Linked DNA regions of Oreochromis niloticus. Each later gene encodes a partner of the first gene's protein in a complex. Links are inferred from orthologs where the notes say so. Each region holds a gene or a part of one and is shown on either strand. Other genes may lie near its edges.

Region 1 (7,786 bases):
TCCCAGCATCCTCCACTGTCACACCAACCCTCTGCATGTCTTCCTTCAATACATCCATAAACCACCTCTGTGGTCTTTCTCTTTTCCTCCTGTCTCATAGCTCCATATTAAACATCCATTGGACAATATTCCCATTGTCCCTCCTCTGTACATGTCCAAATCATCTCATCAACTTTGTCTCCAACCTGATGTGTGCCTCTCATGAACTCATTTCTAATCTTGTCCATTCTGGTCACCCGCAATGAAAATTTGCCACCTCCAGGCCGGCCTTCTGTCTTATTGTCAGTGCCACCATGTCAAGCTACAGATCCTAGCAGGTCTCACTACCATCTTGTAAAACCTCCCTTTTATTCCTGCAGCTCTCCTGTCACAAATTACCCCTGACATCCATCTCCACCCACTCCACTCAACCTGCACTCGCTTCTTCATCTCTCTTGTGGACTGTCTGTTGCACTGAATGGCTGACCCCCCCATTTAAACTCATCTACCTTCATCACCTCTGCTACTTCACCCTTACATCCATCTCCCTCTCATTCACATGTATTCTGTCTTGCTTCTACTGACTTTCATTCTTGAGACCATAGCTTCACCTATCCAGGCTCTCTTCCACTTGATCCCTACCTACTCTCACTACAGATCACAGTCATCTGTAATCATCACAGTCCATGGGTGGATGGTCAGCCTGTCCATCACCACTGCAAACAAGAAGAGCTGATCCCTGAAGTAAACTCACCCGACCTTGAACCCATCTGTCACTCCTACTGCACACCTCACCACCATCTTGCTGACCTCATACAGGTCCTGCACCACCCTTACATCCTTCTTTGCCAGTCCTCACTTCCTCATGCAGCACCACAGTTCCTCTCTGGACACCCTATCATATGCTTCCCCTAGAACATTAAAGACTTAGTGAAGCTCCTTCTGACGTTATCTATTCTTCCCCATCAACACTCTCAAAACAAACATCACATCTGTAGTAACGTTACTTGTTAACTGCAGTTATTCAAACATTCACACTGGTTTCCTCCCACAGTCTAAAATTGAGGACAAAAATTCAAAACTTCTCATGTAACTGTGGTTTAAAACATAATGCTGTTACAATCATGCACATACAGGTAACACAGAGAATAGAGAGGAGCAAACACACGGATCACAGCTCTTTCAAGGTAAATTGCATCAAAGGCAAACAGTAAAAAGTCTTCTCTATTTTTTCACAGAAAATTAGTACTACTACATATTACATACATCACTACAACTACTGTGAAAAAATGATTTTAAACTCGTTCATATGTAATCCATCTTAATTGCAACTCATAAGTAGTAATGGATAAACCTCATCATTCCTTTGCGTCTTAATTCATCTTTTTGCATACTTCCTGTGGCAAAACACTGACATATGAGACAATTTCATAATGGTGAAATATTAAAAAGAATGATATTAGAAAACCCAACTCACTGCAATTCCGAATGATGTGCAGAGACGTGCCGAAAAAGTTTTGAATTATAGATATGTTAAATATTATTTCCTGCACAATCATGCTTTTGATCTCGTAGCTACCATCTGGTTGCAGAGAAGGTGTGAATTTAGTGTGAATTTAGTGTGAATTTAGTGGGGGAGGATTCAAAGGTAACTCAAAAACAGGATCTAGTCTCGCACAACACAACATTTCCATCAACAGAAGGAAATCTTACTGCACACATTCCTTCTGTGTGATAAGCAGGTCAAGACATCATGGAGTGTTATATTTCTTTCAGGGTCACTACTCGTACAGTACAGTCCACAGTCAGTCATGGGCTGGAAGTTTTCATGACGAGAAAACAGATGGACCTTGAATCCAGGAACACAGATATACTGTAAACAAACAGTGTCTGAGGCGGAATGTGACCCTGGCTGTTAAGGGTAAATCATCAGTGGGTCACACTGAGGACAGCACTGGCTTGCTGTCATTTGGCCTATCTTATCTTTTTCCTGACAGGTTACATTTTTTTATCTGGAACATCATGAGACATTGCAAATGCAATATTTGTCCTCCGCTCTCATCTGACATCAGACTCAATCGTTTTGGTCTTTTGAAAACATCATGTGCCACGGTGCTCTTACTGTGATACTGCTTCACAGACAGCGCAGGCTGCAGCTCCCGGTCAGTGTGAATCCAGTCTGAACGATGTGGGAAGCAGAGAGGTATCAACTATCAGCGGACCGTGAAATGTGTGTCACTGCGCCTGAGTCAAGGCCCACCTGCCTCAGCTGTCACTCACTGCTGCACCTCCTTGACACATAGTACCTGGATGCCGGTCAAACAGTAAGCAGGCAACATATGACACATCTGTCAGTCCTACCGCAGTTCCAGCGATCAGCGAAATTGAAAATGTAAATCCCAAACTTCCCCAAAACCCAAAACCCAAACCGAACGTGACCCAAACTAGAAGGAGCCGGCTCCCTTCTTATAGCACCCAAACCAAACAGGGGTGTAGTCCACGAGTTAAACCTTTGTGCGGGGCTGAAAGTGATTCAAACACATTCAGGACTCGTACTAAAACTTTTCAGAGTGAAGTCACTGCCTCGTCTCCGAGCTGTGGGCTGCTGTGCAACCGTAAAATAACAACAACAAATGGCTCACACTGCTCAGCACGGCTAGCTGGACACTATGTCCAAGCTCATAAGCAGCCTCGGCTCGAGGTTATTCCTCTCTAAAAGTAGATGGGAGCAGCTGTACAGCTGAAAGTTGCCCGCAAAGTCTGTGTGCTAACTGCTGTTAGCCTGTGTGTGATCTGTGTTACCTGCTGTCTCAGAGCTAGCGCTCCGCGCTACACCATAATCAGCCGCCCCTCCTCTGCTCGGGCCGCAGTCTGCAACTCCAGCCGAGGGTCGTAGCAGCTCCGTGCGCCTGTAAATAACCTCAAAAATGACGCCCTGGAGGCACGAAATGGATATGAACTGATTTAGGAATCAGCTGTCAGAACTTCGCTCCGGTGTCATGGGCAACGGAAGTGCAGTGAGTAGTTTACTTTATTGTTGTCCGTGTAGACACTGCAGCTGATAAATAGTTCCGCAGGGCGGCAGCCGTCTTCTCGTCCGTTCTAGTAAGTTCCAGTTTAAAATGAGCAGTAGATGATATGATTATTTAAAAAATTAATTACAGAAATAATTTAACATTACACTGGTATATTATTTGTACATCTGCACGTGCATTAAATTTATGTCATTAACTACAGCAGCATTTCTTTGTCATGTTGAAAAACTGAGACGTACATTTTAAAAGTGTATGTCTTTTTTCTTATATTGAGATCTTCCAGGGATTCATTGTGCAGTTAAACTAAAGATCAGAGTGGGCTGTAGTTTGAGTTTGACACTGTTTCTCTAAAAGGACTTGGCAATGAGTAAAATATTTCCACTTCTCCACAAATAATGTGTGTTTATATATAATTATGAGCTGCATGTAACCAGATATATTGTTTTCAATGGAGTCAAAAATGGGAAACATTTAATTGTTTTTATTTGATGAAAAGACGGGATACATTTTTGTTCTGCACGCACACTATAAATACTAGTCCTCGCATAAATTCAGTGATTCTTTATCAAAGTACAGACCTGCCACAGCTTAATGCCTCTGCATTTTTTCAGACTTAAGGTATATATTTGACCTTCTTCTTCCTCCTCCCCGTCTTCCTCAGTAGCACAATCCTTACTCACTGCCTTGAAATGACTTCATCATAACTGGAGCCTGAGTCTGAAGGGCTTTCAGGGAAAAATCTCAGTCAGCCTGAGTACTGCACTCACCTTTCTTTTGACATGACATAAGATAACTTTGCCACCCTGACGGTATACATGTTTCAATATAGCTATAATGTACTTATATACTTGTGCTAATAACATGTTTGTAATATGAGCAGTGAATATTAACATGTCAACCATGAACATTTGAAACTACATTTTAAATAAAGCATATCAGCCATCTTATTCTGGCAAAGCATCACCTGTTTTCAAAATTAATCAATAACTCAATATTTTTTTTACCATTATACTTCATCAACACTCTAAAACAAGAGTGTTTCTGAGGAACCAAGTTGTGTGATCCATAATGCATGTACAAGATACATTTTAAAGGGTTTGAAAAATGTAAACTCATGAGAAGAAAGAAAAGGAGAAACGTTGTATAGACAAAGAGGAGTAAATGCAGTCATGTGACCAATGGGAAACTAGGACACGGTGCAGTTTGTGGATTGAGTGAAACAGTGGAGCATCTTTGATTAACATATGTAAAATATCAGTAAGTAAAAGAAAACACTGAACAAAAGTGGAGAAATACACGAGTGCAAGTGAATAGTTTCAATATGTGTTTGTTGATACAAAACAGCTGCAGTCTTTTTATGAGGAGGCTGGAATCACTTACACTCGGGCCATGTGGATAATTAAATACACCTACAGGTCCTTCTGCACTATTAATTTGGTTGAAGTCTGGACTTTGCAGCACCGGATGCCTCGCTTTTCACTCTAGAATACTTTAGCATACGGAGGAGCTCATGGTCGAATCAGTTGCTGCAAGGTGCCCAGGGACTGTCCCGGCAAAGCAAGCCCAAATCATCACCCTCTCAGCACTGGGCTTGACACTTGGAATGAGGTGTTTGTGCTGATGTGTTGTGTTTGTTTTTCCACATGTGGTGCTATGTTATAGACAAACATCTCCACTTTGGTCTCATCTGTCTAAAGCAAACTTTTCCAGAAGTTTGGGTTTGTTCAGAAGCAACTGAAAGATGAGGCTTTCTCCTCGTAACCCTTTCAAATATTGTTTGGTCTTTTTCTAATTGTAATGTAATGAACTTTAATGTCTAAGAACTGCGCAAACAATGTACAAAGCAGCAAATAAATCTTTGCCCCACAACATTCAGAAGTTCTTCCAAATAAGACAAAATACTCATGACCTGAGAGGAATCCTTATGTTCAGCAAGCCAGCAGTAGGGACAAATGTAAATAAAAGAGCATTACAGTCACATGAGTTAGTGTGTGGAACACCTGTACAGATGAAATCAAGAAAAGTACATCAATACACAAATTCACACGATTGTTTAAAAATAATAAATTGCATTAATATAGGAAATATTCCTCTCAGTGACTGAGTTGTCTCATTGTGCTCTATTGAAGCCTTGTCCTCCTTTTTATAGATCAAAGCCAGAGTAACCCAAGCTTAAAGCGCTCATTAAGGTATCTGTAACATAGATATAAAATAGGCTCAGAGATTAAGCAGGTGTTAACCACAGCGTGCTTAGTTTATGTAAAAATGTAGTTTGTTATTGTTTCGGTTTAAGTGCTGAAATTGTTTTATGTGTTGTATATGAGTGCAGACTTGTATATAGTTAAACATGTACGGATCATATAATGTCGAATTCTGAATGTGGATTTGTAAGTAATAAAAGTTGAAATACGGGGGTAGGAACAGGAAAAGTGTAGACTTCATCCTACTCTGAGCACACTCATTCTGTAGACATAGATATATACATGAAACTTGATGGTTTTTAAGTTTTGTTTTTTCTTGTTTCTCTTGTTATTTCAGATATATCTGCATGTTCAAATTAAAATCCTATCTATCTATCTATCTATCTATCTATCTATCTATCTATCTATCTATCTATCTATCTATCTATCTATCTATCTATCTATCTATCTGTCTGTCTGTCTATCTGTCTATCTATCTATCTATCTATCTATCTATCTATCTATCTATCCATCTATCTATCTATCTATCTATCTATCTATCTATAAAATACTAACTGAGGCCTGTACAGTCTGAGATGTAGTTCTTGGGTTTTCTCCCCATCGTTGCAGAGTCTGACCGTTGGGGATGTCTCAGGAGGAAGAGCAGCTCCGCCTAGGAAGATTGTAGGATTGGATTTGCAGCACCTGTCTGATACTTTTCCTCTTAATCCCTTTGGAAGCTGTAAGGATGCTCCATAAAGTCCTGTGCAAACCTTTCTGACTGTAAATGCAAAGATAAAGAGAAATCACAGAAAAATTAAAAATGTAGTATTCTTTGTGAAGGTGTTCTCTTGCATTGCAGTGCAGGGCAAAGGTTCATAAATTCAAATGTTAGGATGCTTATGAAGAAGCATCTATGTATGAAATGAAAACCTCCTGTTTGCCATGTCTGCACAAAGACACACAAACACACTCAGAAATATAAAGCGGAGCATTTGCTGTTTGACAGAACGTATTTTTCTTGGAGCAAACCCAGTTCGCCCTAAAGTATTTGGACAAAACTGTGATTCACTCGGCCAGTTGTTGTAGGAACGAGGGTGGTGCTGTCACTGTAAACAAGCGCATGCTCTTGACTGACCCGTCTGATTAGATAAGGGTCTTAAAAAAAGAGGGGCATATTAATCTTGCAGCGGGTGTGCGTTCTGTTTTTCATCTACATGTGTTTAGACAGGTGTTGGCCATCAGGCTTTCTGGCCAAAGGATTTACCCCGTGACTGTGTGACGTTCACATCCTCGCTTCACACAACGCGTTTGTTATTCAGAGGATGTCCAGTAACAACAAAGCGTACATCTGTATTTATTTGTGGGAGTGTTGGTGCTTCATTGTAGAGATCGAGAACCAAAGTAAATAAATAAATATTTATAATGAATAGTGTAAAAATTACACTCGAACCCAGAGCAAATAAATACCCTCATAAATCAATGAGAGTTTTAGCCTAAAGAGAGAGCAAGAGATCAAGAACACACACTAAAGAAATGGACAAATTAGACTTTCGGTCCTTAAATGACCCCAATCCAGTACTGAAAATCAAGGCATTTACTAAAATTATGTATACTGTCACGTCAGGGCCTCAGATATGGGCAGAAATCTGTGCCATCAGAAACTGAATTTGAATAAGTTAAATTTGAATTTGAATTACTCGGATTGAATCTGAATTGTAACTTGAATGAAAGCTTTTGAAAACTGAATTTGAATTAGTCTAATTTGAAATTGAATTTATGGTTTGAAACTGCATTTTATCCTTTAAAAATTCAGCTCTCGAATAATTTCACATTCACTTCTCACCATTCAGTTTCAGTTCTACAATTCAATTTCAGTTCCAAAATTCAGTTTTTTGGGACTTACATCCGGTTCCGGTTCAAGCGCAGATTAATAGAACTACAGACTGATAGCGTTACTGACGGAATCTACAGCGTCTTGAGCTGAATTAAGACTTCAGAAGTCATTCGTCATGTCGAATGACCAGCGGATAAACTCTCAGGTTGGTAATAAATGTATTACATGTATAAGAACAAGCGTCATGTTAACAATTGATAGCCGTACAGTAACCTTTATGCTTATTGTAGCTGCTAGCTAAAAACGCTAATTTAGCCTAGTTTGCCCTGGATTCAGCTTTGACAGACAAATATGATCGACTGTTTCTAGTAGAATTCCAAAGTTGTCATCTTGTACCCTCTCAGAGCCCTGTATGCTTGCAGAGACCCCTACAGTAAGGAAACATGCAAAACGCTGTCCAAACCTTTGTATTTGAGCTTTATTTATGTCTTACACAGCATCCCAACTCTTTAGCGAACTTAATAACTTTAGCTAAAGTGAATAGTTAGTCTTATTCATTAGTGCAGCGTTACTGGATCACCTCTGTTTGAAGTGATATAATATGATATACAACTATCACTGTGTTTAACTATCATAATAATTCTTAGGGTACTGAGTGCATGCTTAATTAGATTTTTTTTTTTAAAACATACTGCTCCATTGCTATGTTTGACAGGCTGAAGTTGTCGGGTCACCTCCTAAATCGACCATCTTTT
Region 2 (8,002 bases), on another chromosome or scaffold:
GATGATGGGCGTCTCCACTGTGACCTCTAAAGGTTTGGTGCCATTCGACAGCTCATTGGTGGCTTTGCTACACTGGGTGCCAGGATCCTCTTTGTGGCCCCCGACACCACCAGCGCTGCCACCTTTCTTGTGGGACTTTCCTCCGCTTTCCTTGTCTCCACTCTTGCTGCCGAGCGAGGACGTCGGATTCTTACACTTGGTGACACACTGGCCCATGTCTTCCTCCCGGTCCCTCGTCTGTCTTTCCTCCTCGCCTTCAGTCCCCGTCTGAACCACCTAGACGCCTCTTCTCTGGCCTCACAAGACGTCTCAACATACCCTCAAGCCTGAGGGGAAGAACATTATTAAGAAATAAAGAAGTTACACCCCGCAACTCTCAACAAAAAAGTTAAAAAGTGGATATTAGTACAGAGAAACACAGAAGATGTCAAGCTACCTCTGCTAAATCTACCACGATCCAAGTCTTCAATGGGAAGATTTAAAAACCCTGAAAAACAAAGCAAAACAAAAATAATCTATAGGCATGAATACAATGCTTAAACACTGTTCAGGTTACCATAGAAACCTTGTCAAAAGTAGTACAAGAGGAGTATCACCCTTAACCACAGAAACCTACCAGTGGGTTATGTGTTAAGTCAGAAGACCTATATAACTCTTATATGACGGCTGTAGGAGCTTTTCTTGGTATCACCATAGTTATAGGTAGTTAGTTATAGGTAATTAAAATAGGAATACAGTTCTATAAATATTGTGATACAAATAACTGCATTTATAGGTCATCCTCTGTGCTGTGTTCACATTAACGGTGTGTGTGTGTGTGGAGGGGGGGGGGTTCTCTTTGAACAGAGGAAGTTTTACCTCGTTTTATACTAAGCAGTAGATTATTGCACCATATTGTTTCTTCATTCTCTACTAGCAATAATGAAAGCAGATGAAAAATAAAAACACTGGAAACACCAAACATTGACAAAGAATACAGGGCTACTATGGTTATCCATGTCTCTTTAGGATTTTACAGCAACATATGTTAATTACACTGGCTCCAGATAGTTCGCATTTTTTTATACTAATATTTTGAATCTTGCAAGTTAGTATACAGGACTTTCTAGGTTTTCTAACAAGTAAAATGTGGCAAAAACACAAAAGGCATACAAGATTATGAAATCCTGACCAAGTTGCAACTAAACTGGAGTTTACATTAATCAAACTAAAGCTTGCTTTGTAAACTGCTTTCTCTACCTACCCATTTAACTTAAAAAATTGTTTCTTTGATGAATGCATGTTAATGAAATTAATCAGTCTGCTGACGGAAAAACATGAGGTGATCATGTGTCTGATAACTTATAAAATAGCTGACTTACAATCCTTCAGATGGCATTGTCTTTCTACTGAGCTCCATCATTGTGACCTTGCCATCCACAATGCTGAAAAGACACATTATCTTGTCATCATAAGCAGAAAGTGATAGCTCATCATTCCCAAACCTGCAGGTCTATTTTGGTCGACATGCTATGAATATGTCATTTGAGGACTTGCAAAGAGTTAGCCTTGTTTCAGGATTTTTCATTTACTTGTTTAGAACTGGAAAGAAGTCAGCTATGTTGCATACTGTGAACTGTGAAAAGCTGAGCTTTGACACGTTTGGTTTTAAGGAACTACATCTCAAAAGGGCCGCAATATTCCAGTTTGTGATGTAAAAGCTACAACTTCAGGAAACTTCTCAAACCAACTTCTACTTTTTGCAGTGATCACTGACCTAACAGAGATACGACCCTTGACTTCATATTTAATGCATGTATTCAACATCAGGGCAAAAAGCCAGTCCTGATCAATACATGGGGCATGTAGGGGCAAATCTCTCTCAGGTCTGCTGTGGCCAAGTTCACCTAACTAAGCTCAGATGGCCGTCTGAATTTCTATTTATTAGATTTTGCTTATTTGGCCAAATATAATCCACAATAAGCTGGCACGGGAGTTAGTAAACACTAAGCAGCCTAGTGACCTATACAGCCAGTAGTTTAACCAGATTATTAGCTCGTCCCGAGGTGAACTGGAATACGACTGTGTTACATATGCAACACTGTTATATCGATATATCCTCAGCTGCCCTTTACTAACATCTACAATAATATTATTTCAAACAAGTTAACGTTTGTTGGGCGGGTGAGCATAACAACACAAGTACAACACTCAAAAATATAGTGTAAACCGGCATTAAATAATCACCCGCACCTCGGACTTGTAACTATTACACACAAATTCAGATGGCAGTCGTTGTTACGCTGCTATTGAGCCACATTAGATCACCGCACCGGGCCATTTAACAGCTCCATCCCAACTGCCCGGCCCTGGCGACGTCGTCATAGCTAGCTAGCATCAGCTCGATTAACTAAAAGTTAGCTCTCGGCTATGCTAGGTATTTTTCGATTAAGACATCAAGAAATAACAAAATTATCACCGTGAAAAAACTTACCTTTAGGGGAAAACACATTCGGTCGAATGTGGATGTACATCACTTTGTGAATGGCTGAAGAAATTAAGTAGTTAAACAAGTTAGCCAAAAAATACGAACTGAAGCAAACTCGTCGCGTTAACTCAGATTGCTAGCTAACTAGCTAGCAGCTGATCAAAAAAAAAAAAAAACTTCCACATCAATGTTGAATTCTGTTCCACGCTTAGAAAATAAATAAGTAACAAGCTAGCAACTAGCTTTAGAGTCCATCTTCAGTTGTGTTCGCTGTTAGGTGTGAGTTAAAACGCCAGCTCGGACTAAAGCACCCAATTTCTTTGTGCTTCCCCCTTTTAGTCATTGAGTGGAGCTACATTATGGACATTTTCCTGCATCACTTCCTCCCTGCTTACAAGCACCCAACAGCTGATCCTCGCGTCTGCGACACTAACATACATCCTTTTTTTTAACCAATTGATGGAAGTATTCATATGACAAGGACAAAGTGGATGTTTTGTAGATCACAGTAATATCCGAAATGAAAAATGACTCAAAAACCCCACTGTAAATTAATTACAATTGCTCATACACATTGAACTGTAGAGGTGTTTATATTAATTTCTGCCTTATTTCTACTTTTTATCCACTAACAAGTGAAACAAATACAACTTTGACTAAAAGTATGTGAACTCTTTTATGTTTGTGTTTATTATTTAGCTTCTTCCCGATTAGCCATGGGTACGCGTCATCATTAGGCGACTGTCCTAGCAAGCGGCTGGTAAACTATCCTCTTCTTCAGACACAGGCGGTATGTCAATTCTTCGTTTGTAGTGTTAATTAAATTATGATGAGCGAATATTCGATTAAAAGCTGTTAATGTGACAGGCAGTAACGTTGACTTTAATTTAATGTCCCTGTCTTTGTACGTTTTGGTCAGTCACAATAAGGGCTAGCTTCAAGTTTGCAATTGATGCTAAAACATCAGTGAGTACAAATAACAAGAATGGTTTTATTTAATATACAGCGTCATTCAGTCTCCGCGCATACTAGAACATACAGTTAATACCTCTCCGTCAGTCATGTAACACTTTGTTTAATAACTCAGTGTTGATTTTAGTGGCATCTAGCGTTGAATAGGGCTATTATATTTAGCTATAATTTAAAAATCTAAAACTACAGTACTTTGCAAAAGTCTTTTCTTTATATTTTGCAAGGAAAATTTGAAATAATTTATATTATTTATATAATAGAAATACAGGCTAAACCGAGTTTTGCAGGCCTTGAAGGTCAATATTTGATATGACCACCTTTATTCTTCAACGCAACATCCTGAAGTCTCTTAGTCAGCTAACTTGCCATTTTATTAAGTAGTCTCCAGGAAAAGTTCTCCAGGCGTCTTCAAGGACATTCAAATCTCTTTTTTTATTATTTTTTTTATTTTCTGTTCTCCCACACTGTTTCAGTCATATTGTGGTCCATGCTCTGGCGGCCAATCCATGGCATTTCACAGACAGCTGTAGACACTCACTGTCATTGTTCTCTACTGACCTCCTTTGTACATAGAGTGACAATGATTTGTAAATGAATTTGAGAATTTGGATTCCTCACTCCATTAAGCCCTGTTGCCACTGATTTTTCAGTCCAGTTCTTGTGTAATTTGGCATACCCCAGGTTTCTTGAGACCATTTCAAATGTAGCTTCAGTGGACAGTTGATGGATCAACTAATGGGCCAGATGCATCTCTCAGGTCCTCTGTCTGGTCATACTGGATTTTTTTCCCCTATTTCTTAAGGACATGACGTTCAGATACTGTTCACCTGCTCTAGATAGTTTTTAAGGGATATTTTCATCTTACAACAATTTAGTTTCCTCAATTTTTTATGGACACATTGGACACCATGCAGATCTATGCCAAGTTTTCAGCTAATCGCTCGTCGGGAATCACCTTGTTGATGCAAAGATGCTGTGTTATCCTTGACATTTTTATTAGATTAAACTCAAGACTTTTGCACGGTACTGGAAAGATGTTCATATATTCATTTACTAGTTGCTTGCTTAGCATGCATATTATTATTATGTTACTCGTTATAACGTACTTCATGTCTTAATTGTGCAGTAAAGCTCTTAATTAAATTCCTAGTAGTTGAAGAAAAGAGCAATAAGTAATGTCACATCTAGCTAACTAACCACCAGTGGTATAATTGCGTAATAAAGGCTGTAAGTAAAGAGCATCCATCCATCCATCTTCAGCTTATCTAATTCAGGGGCATGAAATGGGGTACACCGTGGACAGAACACAAACAGATAATGCAGTAAAAACTTTATTTTGCAGGTATCTTTTGTTTTTTTTCTCAGATTCTGAGCCCTGATGACTGCCTCCACCCGTACCACTGTGCTGTCACTGTACATGCGTGTTTTTCGCATCGCCCGAACCTGGCAAGCACAGAGTGGTGTTCTGAGTGACACGGAGACAGAGAGGAAGTACATACTGCAGGAGGCCCGCACTCTTTTCAGACAGAACCAAAAGGTGTGAACAACACTCTGCTCACTAATACGGATTTGAAAAAAAGAAAAAATGGCTTTATAGCATCTTTAAGACTTCTGCTTTTTTTGTTTTTGTGTGTTGTTTTGTTTTTCAGCTCACAGAACAAGAATCAATAAAAAAGTGCATAGAGGAATGTGAAGCGAGGATAGAAATCGGTAAGAATGGAGAAAAGTAGCAAGTTGTTGTTTTTTTATGTCTGGCTGTAGTGAGCATGTCAAGAGGCCAAAATAGTAGCAACACCATTTGTTTTTTATTTTCATGTTTCTCAGGGAAATATATTGATAGTACGTAACCTTTCTAGCTCAGTTGTATCAGTGATTTTTGGGATGTTTTTATGCTTGTTGTCTTCAGCCTGAAAGCATGCAGAATGGTGTTGTTGACTGAATGTACTGAAACATCTGACTTGCACAAACATTCTGAAAAGGTTAACAATAATACAATGCTGCGATTATGCAACTCTTACACATCACACACTGATTCTTTGTCAGTTGAAAGGTTTTCAGCATGTCAAGCGTGAGTAAGCAGCAAAGCTGACCTGATGACCTGAATGATTTGGATAAAAATAATCATGGTTGAAACTGCAGAGGAAAAAAAAATAACAATGCAATCCTGCAGTAACAGGATGAGAAAAGTGCTATGTTGTGCTCTTACATACTTACCCAAACAATAATTTTTCTTGGCTTTCATTTTATAATTTGTTTATAGTTTGATGTCACTGACACATTGTTATTTTTTTATGTTTTTTAAAGGTCTTCATTACAGAAATCCATATCCAAGAGCTGTAAGTAATTACCCTTTATTAGACCATAATGGGTCATGTTGTTTTGGGGGAATTTTATTTGCATACTCTGTGTGTTGCAGACGTATCTACCACCCATGGGACTGGCAACTCAGAAGGGCAGGAAGCTGCGAGCACAGCAGCGCCTGAGGAAACAGGCCAAACCAATTTACTTACAGTCACATGATGAGACCTGATGCTCGACATCCCCGATCTTCGTCAAGAGTTCAAGTTACCAAGGAGAGAAAACTAGAGTGCTGTTGCAGTCGAGATGCTGCAAGCACTCAATGATGCAGGAACGCACGTCATTCAGGATAAAGCCACTTTTCATTGTATTTTCTTTTTCTTTTTCAAAACACAATCATGAGTTGTAACTGTAGGTGAAGAGCGTCAGATTCCTTTCAGCTCAGGAAAGCTCCCACTGTACCACTTTGTAATATCATACAAGTTTGTATGTTTTATTTATCGTTGAGTTCATTTGATTAATAAAAGTGTCTCAATGTGAAGGATTTCCAGACTCTTTTAAACTCACTGTCCGAAATCATGAAATTCACTAAATATTCTCTAATAATCTGTTTTGTTAGTAAAAAAAACTGTTTTCTCGTAAAAAACCCAGAATGCTATGAGAGCAGTTTGCTTTGATATTTTTTATTTACCTCAGTCCCCCCATAATAATGACACAGAGAATACAGAGGAAGAACAGCTCGGGGCGTGCATCGCTTTCAATTCCATTTGGGGATAACTCGCATATTGATTATAGTGGCAATGACCTGCAGGTGGGGTCAGTGATCCATGTCTAATATGACTCATGTTATTGTTGACTGAATACCGAGTCATTTTTCAGCACAGACTAAAGAGCATTCGCTCTCGCTGTAAAATGATCACAAATATTCTGCTCTCTTTAAAAGTTTACTTGCTCTGATCAATGAACACCTCTCATTCACGGACAGCAGGTATTATGCATAGTGACTCATGTGCAGTTTATAAAATACATTAAATGCACAATAAATGATGAAATTGTGATTTGAATTAATAATCCAAGAAAGCCAATCAACTTTACAGCAAACAATCAATGTTTTATCAACAAGAGGAAGCTTGTTCATCTTTAAAAGGGAAAATATTTCTGTGTTATGGTGGTGTGAAAAAGTGTTTGCCTCCTTCCTGATTTCCTATTTTTTATATGCTTGTCACACTTAAATGATTTTAGATCATCATGTAAATATTGCACATAGATAACACAAGTAAACACAAAATGCAGTTTGTAAATGAAGTTGTTTATTATTAAAAGGGAAAAAAAAATCCATACCTACATGGCCCTGTGTGAAAAAGCGATTGCCCCCTAAACCTAATAACCGGTTGGGCCACCCTTAGCAGCAACAGCTGCAATCAGGTATTTGTAAGAACTAGCAATGAGTCTTTTACAGAGCTGTGGAGGAATTTTGGCCCATTCATCTTTGCAGAATTGTTGTAATTCAGCCACACTGGAGGGTTTTCGAGCATGAACCGCCTTTTTAAGGTCATGCCACAGCATCTCAATCAGATTCAGGTCAGGACTTTGACTTTGAGGCCACTCCAAAGGCTTCATTTTGTTTTTCTTCAGCCATTCAGACGTGGACTTGCTGGTGTGTTTTGTATCAATGTCCTGCTGCAGAACCCAGGTGCCCTTCAGCTTGAGGTCACAAACAGATGACCGGACATTCACCTTCAGGATGTTTTGATAGACAGCAGAATTCATGGTTTCATTTACCACAGCACGTCTTCCAGGTTCAGAGGCAGCAAAACAGCCCCAGACCATCACACTACTACCACATTTTATTATTGGTATGACATTCCTTTTCTGAAATGCTGTGTTAGTTTTATGCCACATGTAACGGGACTCAAACCTCCCAAAAAGTTCTGCTTTTTTTGAGATCTCTTCAGTTGTCAGAAAGGTTTTATTTAGGTGATTTCTTAATTCAGCAGGTCTGGCAGTAATCAGGCCTTGGTGTGAAACTGAACTCAACTTTGTAAAAGATGTGGTTAATCACAGTTAACCATTGTTTTTACAAGGTGGGGGCAATCACATGTTCACACAGGGCCATGTAAGTTTAGATTTTTTTCTCCTCCTTAACAATAAACACATTTATTTAGAAACTGCATTTTGTGTTTACTTGTGTTATCTTTGTCTAATAGTTAAATTTCTTTGATGATGTAAAACATTTCGGTGTAACAAGCATATAAAAAATAGGAA

Evidence for each region. The genes of interacting proteins can lie anywhere in the genome.
Region 2: the proteins of ube2f (region 1) and dcun1d3 are in contact, whole or in part, in a crystal structure (PDB 4GBA), measured with the Homo sapiens proteins. The link is inferred for Oreochromis niloticus from reciprocal best matches to the Homo sapiens genes UBE2F and DCUN1D3. Residues at the interface, in NP_001265234.1 of Homo sapiens: Leu2, Thr3, Leu4, Lys7, Leu8; in NP_775746.1 of Homo sapiens: Glu108, Glu109, Glu112, Pro122, Thr123, Glu124, Met139, Cys140, Glu194, Ile204, Ala207, Leu208.

The regions. Positions count from the first base shown.
Region 1 is NC_031987.2:3,580,187-3,587,972, forward strand, and holds the start of ube2f (NEDD8-conjugating enzyme UBE2F), read right to left. Parts: upstream 3,015-7,786; 5' UTR 2,782-3,014; intron 2,286-2,781; 5' UTR 2,102-2,285; intron 1-2,101. UniProt on the Homo sapiens protein: Accepts the ubiquitin-like protein NEDD8 from the UBA3-NAE1 E1 complex and catalyzes its covalent attachment to other proteins. Together with the E3 ubiquitin ligase RNF7/RBX2, specifically neddylates cullin-5 (CUL5).
Region 2 is NC_031973.2:19,637,910-19,645,911, forward strand, and holds the start of dcun1d3 (DCN1-like protein 3), read right to left. Parts: upstream 3,009-8,002; 5' UTR 2,474-3,008; intron 2,446-2,473; exon of another isoform or gene 2,233-2,445; intron 1,425-2,232; 5' UTR 1,362-1,424; intron 488-1,361; 5' UTR 437-487; intron 327-436; 5' UTR 217-326; coding exon 1-216. Other genes in the region: lyrm1 (LYR motif containing protein 1), read left to right, coding at 4,818-4,976, 5,089-5,149, 5,744-5,775, 5,856-5,969. UniProt on the Homo sapiens protein: Contributes to the neddylation of all cullins by transferring NEDD8 from N-terminally acetylated NEDD8-conjugating E2s enzyme to different cullin C-terminal domain-RBX complexes and may play a role in the cell cycle progression by regulating the SCF ubiquitin E3 ligase complex, after UV damage.